Linked DNA regions of Tamandua tetradactyla. The protein of the gene in region 1 purifies or fractionates together with the protein of each later gene. This does not show direct contact. Links are inferred from orthologs where the notes say so. Each region holds a gene or a part of one and is shown on either strand. Other genes may lie near its edges.

Evidence for each region.
Region 2: the proteins of ASF1B (region 1) and CABIN1 purify together in Homo sapiens (affinity purification with mass spectrometry; 3 studies listed by BioGRID and IntAct, counting the BioPlex papers as one, with this or other methods). This does not show direct contact. The link is inferred for Tamandua tetradactyla from reciprocal best matches to the Homo sapiens genes ASF1B and CABIN1.
Region 3: the proteins of ASF1B (region 1) and UBN1 purify together in Homo sapiens (affinity purification with mass spectrometry; 3 studies listed by BioGRID and IntAct, counting the BioPlex papers as one, with this or other methods). This does not show direct contact. The link is inferred for Tamandua tetradactyla from reciprocal best matches to the Homo sapiens genes ASF1B and UBN1.

What each region holds. Positions count from the first base shown.
Region 1 is NC_135337.1:88,728,638-88,732,384, forward strand, and holds the start of ASF1B (histone chaperone ASF1B), read left to right. Parts: upstream 1-842; 5' UTR 843-969; coding exon 970-1,078; intron 1,079-1,098; exon of another isoform or gene 1,099-1,836; intron 1,837-3,747. UniProt on the Homo sapiens protein: Histone chaperone that facilitates histone deposition and histone exchange and removal during nucleosome assembly and disassembly. Cooperates with chromatin assembly factor 1 (CAF-1) to promote replication-dependent chromatin assembly.
Region 2 is NC_135331.1:25,631,649-25,635,395, forward strand, and holds the start of CABIN1 (calcineurin-binding protein cabin-1), read right to left. Parts: upstream 2,643-3,747; 5' UTR 2,572-2,642; intron 2,563-2,571; exon of another isoform or gene 2,185-2,562; intron 1-2,184. UniProt on the Homo sapiens protein: May be required for replication-independent chromatin assembly. May serve as a negative regulator of T-cell receptor (TCR) signaling via inhibition of calcineurin. Inhibition of activated calcineurin is dependent on both PKC and calcium signals.
Region 3 is NC_135349.1:52,237,697-52,241,443, reverse strand, and holds the start of UBN1 (ubinuclein-1), read left to right. Parts: upstream 1-1,146; 5' UTR 1,147-1,239; exon of another isoform or gene 1,240-1,270; intron 1,271-1,301; exon of another isoform or gene 1,302-1,605; intron 1,606-3,747. Other genes in the region: GLYR1 (cytokine-like nuclear factor N-PAC), read right to left, coding at 178-215. UniProt on the Homo sapiens protein: Acts as a novel regulator of senescence. Involved in the formation of senescence-associated heterochromatin foci (SAHF), which represses expression of proliferation-promoting genes. Binds to proliferation-promoting genes.

The DNA.
Region 1 (3,747 bases):
GACCGGTCTGACTCGCACCGACGACGGGGCGCTCTGAGCACCGTCTATTAGAAGCCGCTCCCCGGGCGGCGGGCCCCGAAGGGGCGACAACGGGATTCAAGCCGGGCGCCGCTCCGCCTCCCCCGGGGGCCTGTCAGCGTTCACCATATTCACCACGGAACCCTCGGCCGCTGGGCCTGAGGAGCCTGGAGCTCCTCACAGAGGCTCCCGGCAACGCTCACCCGCAGACGAAGCCGAGGTGGCCGCGCGCCTCCTCGTCTCCCCTCACGACCGACGCAACCGACTTCCGGTCCTATCTCGCCAATCACGAGACGAGCTTTCTCCTCCCGCCTACCGCAGTCAAGCCAACCAATCATCTCTTAGAAAGCAAGCTTTCGTTTTTGTTTTTTTTCTCACCCTCTCCCGTCTGTCAGTCACCACGGAAGCGAGCACCGCCCTTTCCGCTCTCTTCAGCGAGTGTCGCGCGCCCCCGCTTGGCAGTTGGTGGCGATGCCCTCCACGGGCTGCGTGCCCCGGAAGGACGGGGCGACGAGAACGCCCACCACGCCTGTGCTGGAACCCTTGGGATTGGTCAGCGGGAGCCCCGCGCGCTGACTCCGCCCATCTCCGCCCTTAACGTCCGCATCGGAGACGCTGGGGATTGGTTCCCCACTGGGGGGGTTGGGTTAACATCCTCAGGAGCCAAAAGGTGGTCCCGCCCCGCGACGCGCACGCCGGGGAGGGAGTTCCGCTGATTGGTCTAGGGAATCGCAGCGCGCGCCGACTGGAGTTCCAGGATTGGCCGAGGGCGGGCTCGCGCCGCCGGGGAGCGTTAGCGGTGATTGGCCGGAGGGCGGGGCCGGCTATTTGAAGGCGGCGCGCGGATGAAGCGCGCACTTCAGTCGGCTTAAGGAGGTTGAGGAGGTGTCCGTGGGAGGGCTGCGCTCTTGACCCCGGCGGACACGGACGCGGCCCGGCCCCGGCCCGACGATGGCCAAGGTGTCGGTGCTGAATGTGGCGGTGTTGGAGAACCCGAGTCCTTTCCACACCCCATTCCGGTTCGAGATCAGTTTCGAGTGCAGTGAGGCCCTGGCGGACGGTGAGGCTGGGCCTGTGTAGGGCCTCCCCCCCCCCCGGCCGGGCTGACCCGCACTTCCCGTCAAGAGGCCCCCAAGGATCACTCCTTGGTAGACCACCGACGTCCCGGTGAAGAACCCATTCCCCCTACCAACCCCCTCCCGGCCAACCCCAGTCTCCCTGGAGGGAAGCCCCCAAAGCCAACCCCGACGTTCCCGTGGAAATCCCCCACCGCCAGCCCCTACCTCACCCGCCCCGTGGGGACCCCCGACGGCCAAGCCCGACCTCCCCCTGGAGACCTCCCAAGGCCAGCTCTGGCTTCTACTGCCACAGGGTCTGAGCAGGTTAAAGAACAGAGGCTGAGAGGGTCTCTACGTAGAAAATGGGTGGCTCGGAGGACTCCCACAGAAAAAAGACGGTGGTGATAAGGCCTCCACTAGAGGGGCAGTTGTAGACCTTGAAAGGTCTACAAAGACCTTTCAAGAAAAGGGCTGTAAAATTCTAAAACCGAATGGCTAAGGTCACCCAAGAAGCCTTTTAACTAGCTCTCAGGCAAGTGGTGCTTTCAGGAGGAAATTCTCCCCTTAGAGAACTTCTCCGGGTGATTAAACAAAAAGCAGCAGCAGTTGAGGGGGTGAAAAATCTGTAAACCCGGGAGGCGGGGTCTACTAAGGAGCACCACTGGGTGGCTGGTGGGCACTTTGCCTATAAAGCTTGCTGCTGGGATTTGCTTGTAGCTGATGCTGTTTGAGATGCATTTGCCCTGGGATGAGCCAGTAGGTGAGTCTCCCTGGATTTTCTTCTTTTCAAATTAAGGAGTCTATGTGTGACTAGAGAATCGGCTAAGTTAAATCCCTTTTGGAGCAAGGCAGGGTGTAAATAAATAAATAAAGTGTAGAATGACACTGAGGAAGATTTCATTTTAAAGCCAGGAGGAGCTATAAGGAGCTAGCGGTTTAAGGGATTCGCCAGTTTAAGGGATTCGCCTTCCCAGATGGCAGGATATCAGGTTTCATTCAGCCGATTGTGCTCCTGGAATTAAAAATGATTCTGAGGTCCTTATCCAATACTCTAATTCCTAGGAAGCTCCTACCTATTGTTTTTTTTCTAATCTGCATATGGAATCAGGGCAGGAAAGGCCAAAGTCAGCAAGCTGATTTTAAATTTCTTAGTAGAGGGACATGGAATGACTCCTCTGAAGTGACAGCAAAGGCAGTTTGTGGGAGTGTTGGGACCATGGTGCGTCTCTGAGTTCTGAGTGCAGGGCTCTTCCTCTTTGCTCTTATCCCAGTGGTAAGATTAGAGGTGACACATAAACATGAGCAGCCGGGGAATTTATTGCCAAATCATGATTCTCAAAACAGAGACGGGGGCACTGGTATAATTACAGCCAGATGATAGAGCTTTTGTTCAGAGAAGCTCAGATTGGAAATCCTGTTCTGGCCTGGAAACCCAGACCCTCGTTCCACCCTAGGGCCGTCGGTGACTTAGACCTGCAAACCTGCTTTCTGCCTCTTCCTAGCCTTCTTCCCACAAAGCACAGAATCCGTTTCCTGCCTCCCAAACAGAAGCCCTCTCTGAAATCCTGGAGAAATCTGTCAGTCTTGTTACCTCTCAGTACCAGCAAACTGAAAATCCGATGAGCTGTACAACTCCTAGTTGGTTAGCTGTCCCATTTCCTAAGGGCTCCAGACTCCTTCTGCTGTCTTTCTCAGCATTTGGAAGTGGACGCTTCCAAGGTGTGGGTCCCCATTTAATACATTAGATGTGTTCCCTGCACCCTCTTGAGAAATTCAGCGGACACTGGTTGAATAAGTCATAGAAACCAGATGTTCTGACCCAGAGCTGTGGCAAGGCCAAGGCTCATCTCTGTAGCTATGAACAAAGACAAAAGGTAAATAGGAAAAGGCCTGCTAGAGGTGCTAGATTAAAACAAAAACAACTGGGGAACAGACACTCCAGCTAGTTGAGCTATAATGATTTTTTATGCATCTTTAGCCATATTATTGGTTTTAGTTTTGTTTTCAGGGATAACAGAGGTCCATCTTAGGTGTGGCTTAGACCGTAACGTTAGGGTATAAAGACACCGTGATACATGCACTCAGATTACCCTTGAAGTTGCCCATAAGGTTAGGTACCCAGTGTTGGGGTGGGGGGGCGTAATTGTGCCCTGTAAACTGTAGATGTGGAGGTGTGTGTGACTTTGTCCCACATTTCATTCTATTCTATATTCAGAATTGAAATCGTTAAAGTACATCTCTGCTTGAAACCCTTTTCAACAAATTCTAGTTTGTAGGCCCTGCTTCAGTCATCATGTCGTTGGTAGATTCTATCAGATTCTCTAACTTTGGCCCTCAGTTAATTCCTCAGTTTCTCTGGACAGCGTTGAGGGAGCCTCAGTGGGCTCACCTCATGGTATGTTTTCTCTCCTACTCAACACCAATCCAGTCTTTATGCAGGTTTTGCTGACAATTATTGACTTCAGTCAGACAACATCGAGCGCCTGTTGTATACATTGGGTCCAGCTCTGTTTTGGTCTCATTGGCAAATGGACATATATAGGATCCCAGTGGTTATGGGGCAGGGCAGAAGGAAATATACCAAAGTTAAGAGTTGGGTTTGGGTAAGTGAGATCAGGGCTAGCTTGTTTTTTTGTTCTTCCCCCAAATTTGATTCTGGTGGTGTCACTGA
Region 2 (3,747 bases), on another chromosome or scaffold:
GAATAAAAGCAGAAGGAACGAGGGAAATAGAGAATCACCATGAAGCAAACTTCACAGCAATAAATACACAACATTTATGTGTACATGAGATCCAAATGTTAAAGTTAGTGGGCTTAAGTTTGTGGAAAACCAGAATTTACTTCCTACCAAAGTATTTCCACTAAGGCAGAAATCCTGCAGACACCAACTTCAACAAGTAACTCCAGCAGTGAGACATGTTGCCATCATGAACCCCTTGAGATGAAACACCGAGAACAGAACATTGCATTTTGTGTTATTCTGTCCAAAAATGCACACCCTCATTCTACTCAAGAGAAAATATCAGACAAACCTAAGCCAAGGTAACGTTAGACAAAAACAACTATCAGTATTCTTTAAAAGCATCAAGGCCAAGAAAGAGAAGAAGAGACTGAGCACCCATTTCAGAGGACAGGAGATGAAACAGAAATAACAAAATACAACATGGGTTACTGGTTAAGATCCAGGAATAAAAAAAAGGAACACGAATGGGGAAACTGTTGAAATTTGAATTAGGGCTATCATTTTTAATAACAGTGTATCAGTGTTGGTTTCCTGTTCTTGACAACTGTACCCAGATGATGTAAGATGTTAGCATTATGGCAAGCAGGGTGAAGCACATAAAGGAACTCTTGTATTATTGTTGCAACTTCTCTTTAAGTCAAAAGTTAGTTGAAAATCAAAAGTTTTCAAATAAATAATCATTTGAGACTATTGACTGAGCATCTGTAAGAAATGTGAGGCCCGGACCATGTACACCAGGGACCCCAGAAATCCACTAAGAGGAGCTTACAAACCAAAAGCAAGTCCCTTTCCTCAACAGCCACTAACGTGCTCAGTTTCTCCAAGGAAACAGAGGCTGCATCGGGGTGAGGCCCTCACCTACAGGGACTGGCACCACGGGCTCCACCTCCAGGCCCACCGGCATCTACTCAGCCTTCCATCCTCTGCCACGACAAGGTCACCATCACAGAGGGGACGAAAGATAAATATTGGGTGCAAATGGCAAACCCTTCTGGCCCAGCTTGTTTGTAAAGGCCCTGACCAGGATCAGTATGGGGAGCCTCGTGTGCTACGTAGGAGCTAGTGAAGCTGCCCCAGCGGGGATTCTTGCCCACTCTCCCCAGCAAGCCCAGCCGAGGAGAAGAAAATGGAAGCAGAGAAAGAAGAATCGTTGTAGTCTGATGATGACATGGGCTTTGGTCTTTGGGACTAAACCCTTTGTGTCATGTGTTCAATAAAAAGTTGAACTCTTTAAAACTTAATTAATTAATAAGCAGCAGCTACCAAATGGAGAGGAGAAAGGAATTATCTGTTCGTTTCTTGGACTTCCAGTTCAGCAGCTGCATTTTCGCAGAGTAGCACATTCACAGGTTTAACCTAGCAGGTTCCCAATGGCCTTATAGAAGACATGATAAAGAACATTTCAGTTGGAGCACCTAACGCTGAGTGGTCTCCAACCCACATGGGGCACTGCCTGGCTGACTAGCTGACCTGGCATAAGATGCCCCTCTCTGGATGTGTTTCTTTTACCTTTTGAGGCTTTGGACCAGACCAGAGGTCTGCAAACTAACCCACCAGCTGTTCCTGTGCAGCCACCAGCACAGAATGGCTTTTACATTTCTAAATGGCAGACACGTGAATGACAGATGCAAATGATCTGACACTTTCATGCCCATAAATAAAATTGCACTGGGGCACAGCCACTCCTTTGGGTGGGTTATCTTTGGCTACTTCGAATGCTAGAATTGAGTAAACAGATTATGGCCTGCAAAGCCTAAAATATTTATTAGCTCGTCCTTTACAGCAAACTTTGCAGACCCCCGACCAGTGCAATTCTAAGGCCATTCCAGTCCTAACCCAGTTCTGGGTCCCAACAGAAGGAACCTTAGCTGCATGGAATTCGACCTTCCAGTTTCAGATGTAATATCATGAAGAGTTAAGTGGTTCCCCAAACTCAATGTGCCAACATCAGTGGGGCGTCAGGAATATGCTAGCCAGGGTATCCCCCACTCCATCCCCGGAAACCAGTGCAGCAAAACGGTCAAGATTTTCAGTCTGGAGTCAGGCTGGCCCATGGGTTGGCTAGGTGACCTTGGAAAGTCACTTCACCTCCCTCGGTCTCTGTTTCCAACCCTGGAAACGACATGAACAAACAGCACTCACCTCGGGGGGCTGCCGCAAAGTGAAGCGAAAGGATGCGGAGTAAAAGGTTAGCCTTTTGCAACCGCGGGACGCCGCCTCAATGGTGGGTCCTGCCGTCGTCCCTGGGACCCACTCCCGAGGCCGGAGGCCGGTCTAGGCACCCAGGGCGGCGGTGGAGAGCCAGAAAGAGGCCCCCGCGGCAGCCAGGAGGCCTGGACCCAAACTGGCTTCCCCGACTGCGGCACCGGGGCTGCCACAGGGACCCCACCCGCCCCACACACACACAGCGTCCCCACGGGTCTCGAGCCCATGCAGTCCACCCCTCCGGCTCGTGCTCCGGCCTCCTGGCCCCGCGGCGCCACGTTCCCAACCCGGGGCCACCCCCACAGCCGCAGTCCCGGGACTCACCCGGCGTCTCCACGGCAACGGCCCGATCGCCCGGACCCCCGCGCCGCCGGCCGCACGCCTGTCAACAAGGCTCGCTCCCATTGGCTCAGCGCCGGGCGCGCCAGCCAGTCAACGGGGTCGTACGCGGCGTGCGCCCGCCCGGCCGTGGAAGACGGGAACGCGCGCGTGTCCGCCCCCGGGCTGCCTTGTCGCTACAGTTGTAGAGTTCGGGGTCCGGGTTCCGAAAGGCTCCTGGGGCGCCGAGCTCAGTGTCCAGCCCGGGGCAGTCGGTGAATGATGGGGTGTATCGTCCTCACCACCTGGGGCAGGGGCTCCGGGGGCCGAGGGAATTGAGGGGCACGTCCGGGAGCCCCGGGGACGCGTTCACCCGTTCCGTGGCCCTTGCGAGTCCACGCGAGCAAGCAGATGACAGCGATGATTATAGTGGGGGTGATAGATTTAGGGTGGGGGTGGGGGGTAGTGAGACACCCGCTTAGGATAGGGAGCTGTAAAGAGGGATGAACACAAGGTTATATGCAAAAAAAAAAAAAAGAAAGAAAGAAAGAAAACCGGGTTGGATAATTAAAGGGAGAGCTGTGGGTTTGAGAGACAACTCCTTCACCTCTGGTGCCTTTCTATTGGTTTTGGGGTTGGACTTTAACATCCTTAGTGAATAGGTCACTTAGACGGGTTTATGTTGACTTGAAGATATGATATGCCCAACCAAGGCCTGTTGTACTTGGAGGGCCGGATGGGTGAAAATGGGTCACTTTGTTTGGAAGGTTTTATCTTTTCTTAAGATCCATAGCTCCTGTGGCTAGGGTGGCATTTGTGAAGGGGATGGTAACCGTGGTGAGTTGCTAGCTCAACTCCCAGCTCTGTTCCCACTGGTTGGGTCCCCAGTGTCAAGGATTGAGTATGGGTGATGGACTTCTTAAAATGGAGAATGCATGGGATTTAGAGACTTTACAGGGAGGGGGAATAAGTCTCTTAGACCAATCGTCTTTGATTTGAAGCCCCTAAGTCTTCCTAAGGCGCTTTTTTTTTTTTTTTTTTTTTTTTTGCCTGTCAGAGCAGAAATCCTTGCCTCTGAAAAATGCCTGACTTATCTCTGTGTTTTGAGGGTGTAGATAATAGAGCACATTATAGGGCACTTGATTTAGAATGTATTGTCTCAAAGCAGTGTTGGCATATTGT
Region 3 (3,747 bases), on another chromosome or scaffold:
GTCCCCCGGGGCCGAACTGCCCCTTCCGCCCGGCGTCGCTCCCAGCGCTGGCACTTAGTTTTCCCCTCTCTTCGCCGCCTAAAGCGCAGAGAAGGGCAGCTCCGGGGCTGACTGTGAACCCCGTACCCAGAGAGCAGCACCCCAGCACCTCGCTTGCCCCCGGCCGCCCGGACTCACCATACCAAGTCGCCGAGCCGCAGACTCACAGCCGCCATCTTACCACCCAACCACCACCGCCGCACAGGCCGCCGGGAACATCAGGTCGCCTCGACACCGCCCATTGGAGTGAGGAGGACCACGTGATGAGGGCCGGCTGTCATCGGCCACGCCGCTGCTCTGACGTCACTGCGCCCTCTATCTCTCATTAGCCGGTCGAGCGGCACGTGATTCGGGCGCCGCGGTCTCCGCTAGCCGAAGACCCTAGACTCCCGGCTCCTTCCCCGCCTTCCCCCCCGCCCCACCTCCTCGGCTCGTGACAACGAAGCGCCCGCGGTCTGAGGCAGCGGCGGAAGCGACGACGTGCGGCTGGCCGAGCGCGTGAGGGAGCCGGCCTTGAGGCCCGCCCCGCCTCCCGGGGCCCTGGACTCCAGCCCCCTCCCCCCTTCGGCGCTTCCGTTTCGGCCGTTAGTTCCGCGCGGGCCCCGGGGCCATTCCCGAGCCTGAGGCGCCGGCCGGCCTCGTCGCTGCACCCGGGAGCTCCCCTGACGGACCTCGGCGCGGCCTGGAAACCGGAGCCAAGGGTCCCGCGACCGGTGGGCTCTGCTTGGCCTCAGCCCGGGTCCCCCCTCGTCTCCGCGCCCCGAGCTCCCGGGGGCTCCGAACGCCGCGCTTGTTTGCGGGCGAGGGGGTCCGTCCCGCCGCCGTCCGGGTGCCTTGGCGCGCTCTCGCGGCCGACTTTCGCGCGGCCAGCGGTTCGGGTGCGGGTCCGGCGCAGCAAGTTCTCCCGGGGCGCCCGCTGGCAGCCTGCTCCGCCGCCCCCCGAGTTGCTCCGCGGACCTCGAGGCGGCACTTCTGCGCTTTCTTCTTGGCCGGCTCGCGGCACGGCCGACGCGGCTGTCCCGGGCGCGCGTGGACCCGGTCATGGGCCGCAGCGCCGGCCGGCCGCCCGCCGGGAGCCATGCCTCGGAAGCCGGCCGCTAGCCGCGCCGCCGCTTGGGGCCCCTGGCCGGCATGAGGACAGCCGCGGGGGGACGCGTGCGGCCCGCGGGGCCGTAGCCTGCGCCGGCGCGGGGGACGAAGGTGCGTGTCCGTGTACGGACCGGACGCTCACGTAAGCCTCGTTGTAGTTTGACACTTTGGAAGAAGTTGGGATCAGGCGGTTGTGCCCACAGGGAGTCAGATGCCAAGCGTGGTGTCGACGCATGAAAGTTAAACCGTTAAAGGGAGACTCTCAGTGGCAGTTCGGCACAGCGCCTGCCCAAACTCCAGGGTACCTGGTAGAAACAAATAGAATTTTCGAAAAGCTCCCAGTCCCGGTTTCAGACTCCGAGGAGTGATTTTAGCGCTTGATTTAGAACCGGAGTTTTCCGGAGTTAGCGATTTCCTGGAAAAGGTGCGAGGTCCACGCGCGCATTTCGCGTATGTGTTTTGTCATATCCAGACTTGGTAAGTGGGTTTTTATTTTAGCTTGCTGAGTTGGCCTCAACGCCGGGTTTCTTAGATCAGTTTCTCTGAAGTACCGTGAGCCAGTTTCAGGAAGTGTCATTTATTGTTTTGTTTTAAAGGTAAACTGGTTATTTAAAGCGTATTTAGGATTCCAGGAAACAGTCTGATAAAATTAAACGCATTCGTAATTTACAAAGTCTTATAATTTGAAGAATTGAAGGATATTTAATAACTTGATAAAAGAGATAGATGCCTTTTAAATTACTGTCATGCAGGCTCTAGAAGCATTGCCATTAAGGTTATAATCATGGCTAAGAATATTTGTCTTATGTTAGCCTGGAAGTTTTAGCCAATGCAATAAGGCATGAAACAAAAAATAAGAAATATAATTTTTCAGGAAGGGGAAGACAAACTACTCATTTCCCGGGATGATAGAATTGCATATTTTGAAGAAATGAATAGTCGAGGAAAACCAGTAAAATTAGAGTTAAGAAAAACTAACTGCAAAATCGACAAAGTTCAGTTTTCTGGTTAATGGGTTCTGTTTACAATGACAACAACGAAAAGCTCCTGGGAATAATCTGAGATACAAAAGGAGGCGTGAGGAAATAGATGAAAGTGCCATTCTTGTTTAATTTCAGTTGAGGTTTTTTAAGAGGGATGATTTTGCAGATAGAATTTTACTCATTTTGTATTATTTATAAATAACAGGACTTTTTAAATAAAAATACTTGATCTTTGACAAAAGTTCAAGTAAGAAACCAGTTTAACATATCAAATTTCCCTAAATAACTCTTTTTACAAAGTTCAATTTTCTTTAGCATATTACTCTGTAATTAAAATTTTAGATGCTTGATTCTTGTAGATACTTCAGACGTCTAAAAAAGTAAACTTAGAAACCTAACATAAATGTTTCTGAGGACTTAAGCAATTGTCATTAAGTCTAATAAACTTATAAATGGAAATCTGGTTCTTTTTGAAAGAAAGTACAGGGCAGGCAATGGTGGTATAGTGGCAGAATTTTTGCCTGGCATGCTGGAGGAGACCTGATTCCCGGTGCCTGCCCACTCAAAAAAAAAAGTGCAAACACTTTCACACTTAATTATATTTTCTTAAGCATCTCAAATTAAAATTGTAAATCTCACAACACTCATTAATGTCCAGTTCTCTTGAATGTTTCAGATGGCCTAATAAAAAACAATAATACAGTATGATGATTACAAAACTTCACCCAAAATCTAACCCATGAGTCTTAATCTGCTATATCTTTGATTTGCTTTATCCTCTAATTCTGTTTCTATACCATTGGCTTCTCAGGCTTCAACGAAGAAGTGGTTGAAGTTTAGGTGGGTTGAAGTTACGATGTGTAAAACAGACCAAGATAAGGCTACATTTTAAAATCTCTTACTGGACAGGGACACTAGCATTTGCCTGGTTGCCACTCCCGGAATGACCTTCTTGCATCCCATTGATTAACTTGATTCTCTTCTTAGAGTATTTGTCTGCTCTATTAGAAGGGACCTTTAAACTTTTCCTTTCAACTGAGATGTAATTTGACAACCTTGTGAATCAGTATGTCCCAGGTTTTGTGTCATAATGGAAAATAAGTATTGGATATATACAAATGCATATACATATATGGATTTATAAGAGATATATATGAGAAATAGCATCTTCTTGACAACTCTCACTTATGATTCAGTTACAATAAAAACTGACAGCCCCTTTGGGAGAACTCAACAAAATGTTTCTAAAGTTCTGAAATAATAAGTAGGCTGGAGTGGTAGTGGTATTTTTAAAGAGTGATAAGAGCTTTCAGTTCAAGATTTTAAAATATTCCGTATAACTTCAAAACAGTATGGTATTAGTTAAAAAAAATCTTAACTACTACATTCATACAGCAGGATGGATTTCAGTAATAGACCATAAGAAACATGGGATTTTACTAGATGATGTATGCCAAATTGGCAGGGATAAGAGGGATTATTTAGTGATTGATACTGGGAAGAATCAAGTTAGGACCTCACGCCATAGCTTATAGCATAATATATTCCACTTGGGTTAAATAGTTAAATGTGAAAAGTATATAAAAGACTGTGTAGATAAATTCTTATGTGAGATCTGGTTGGAGAAGTACATTTT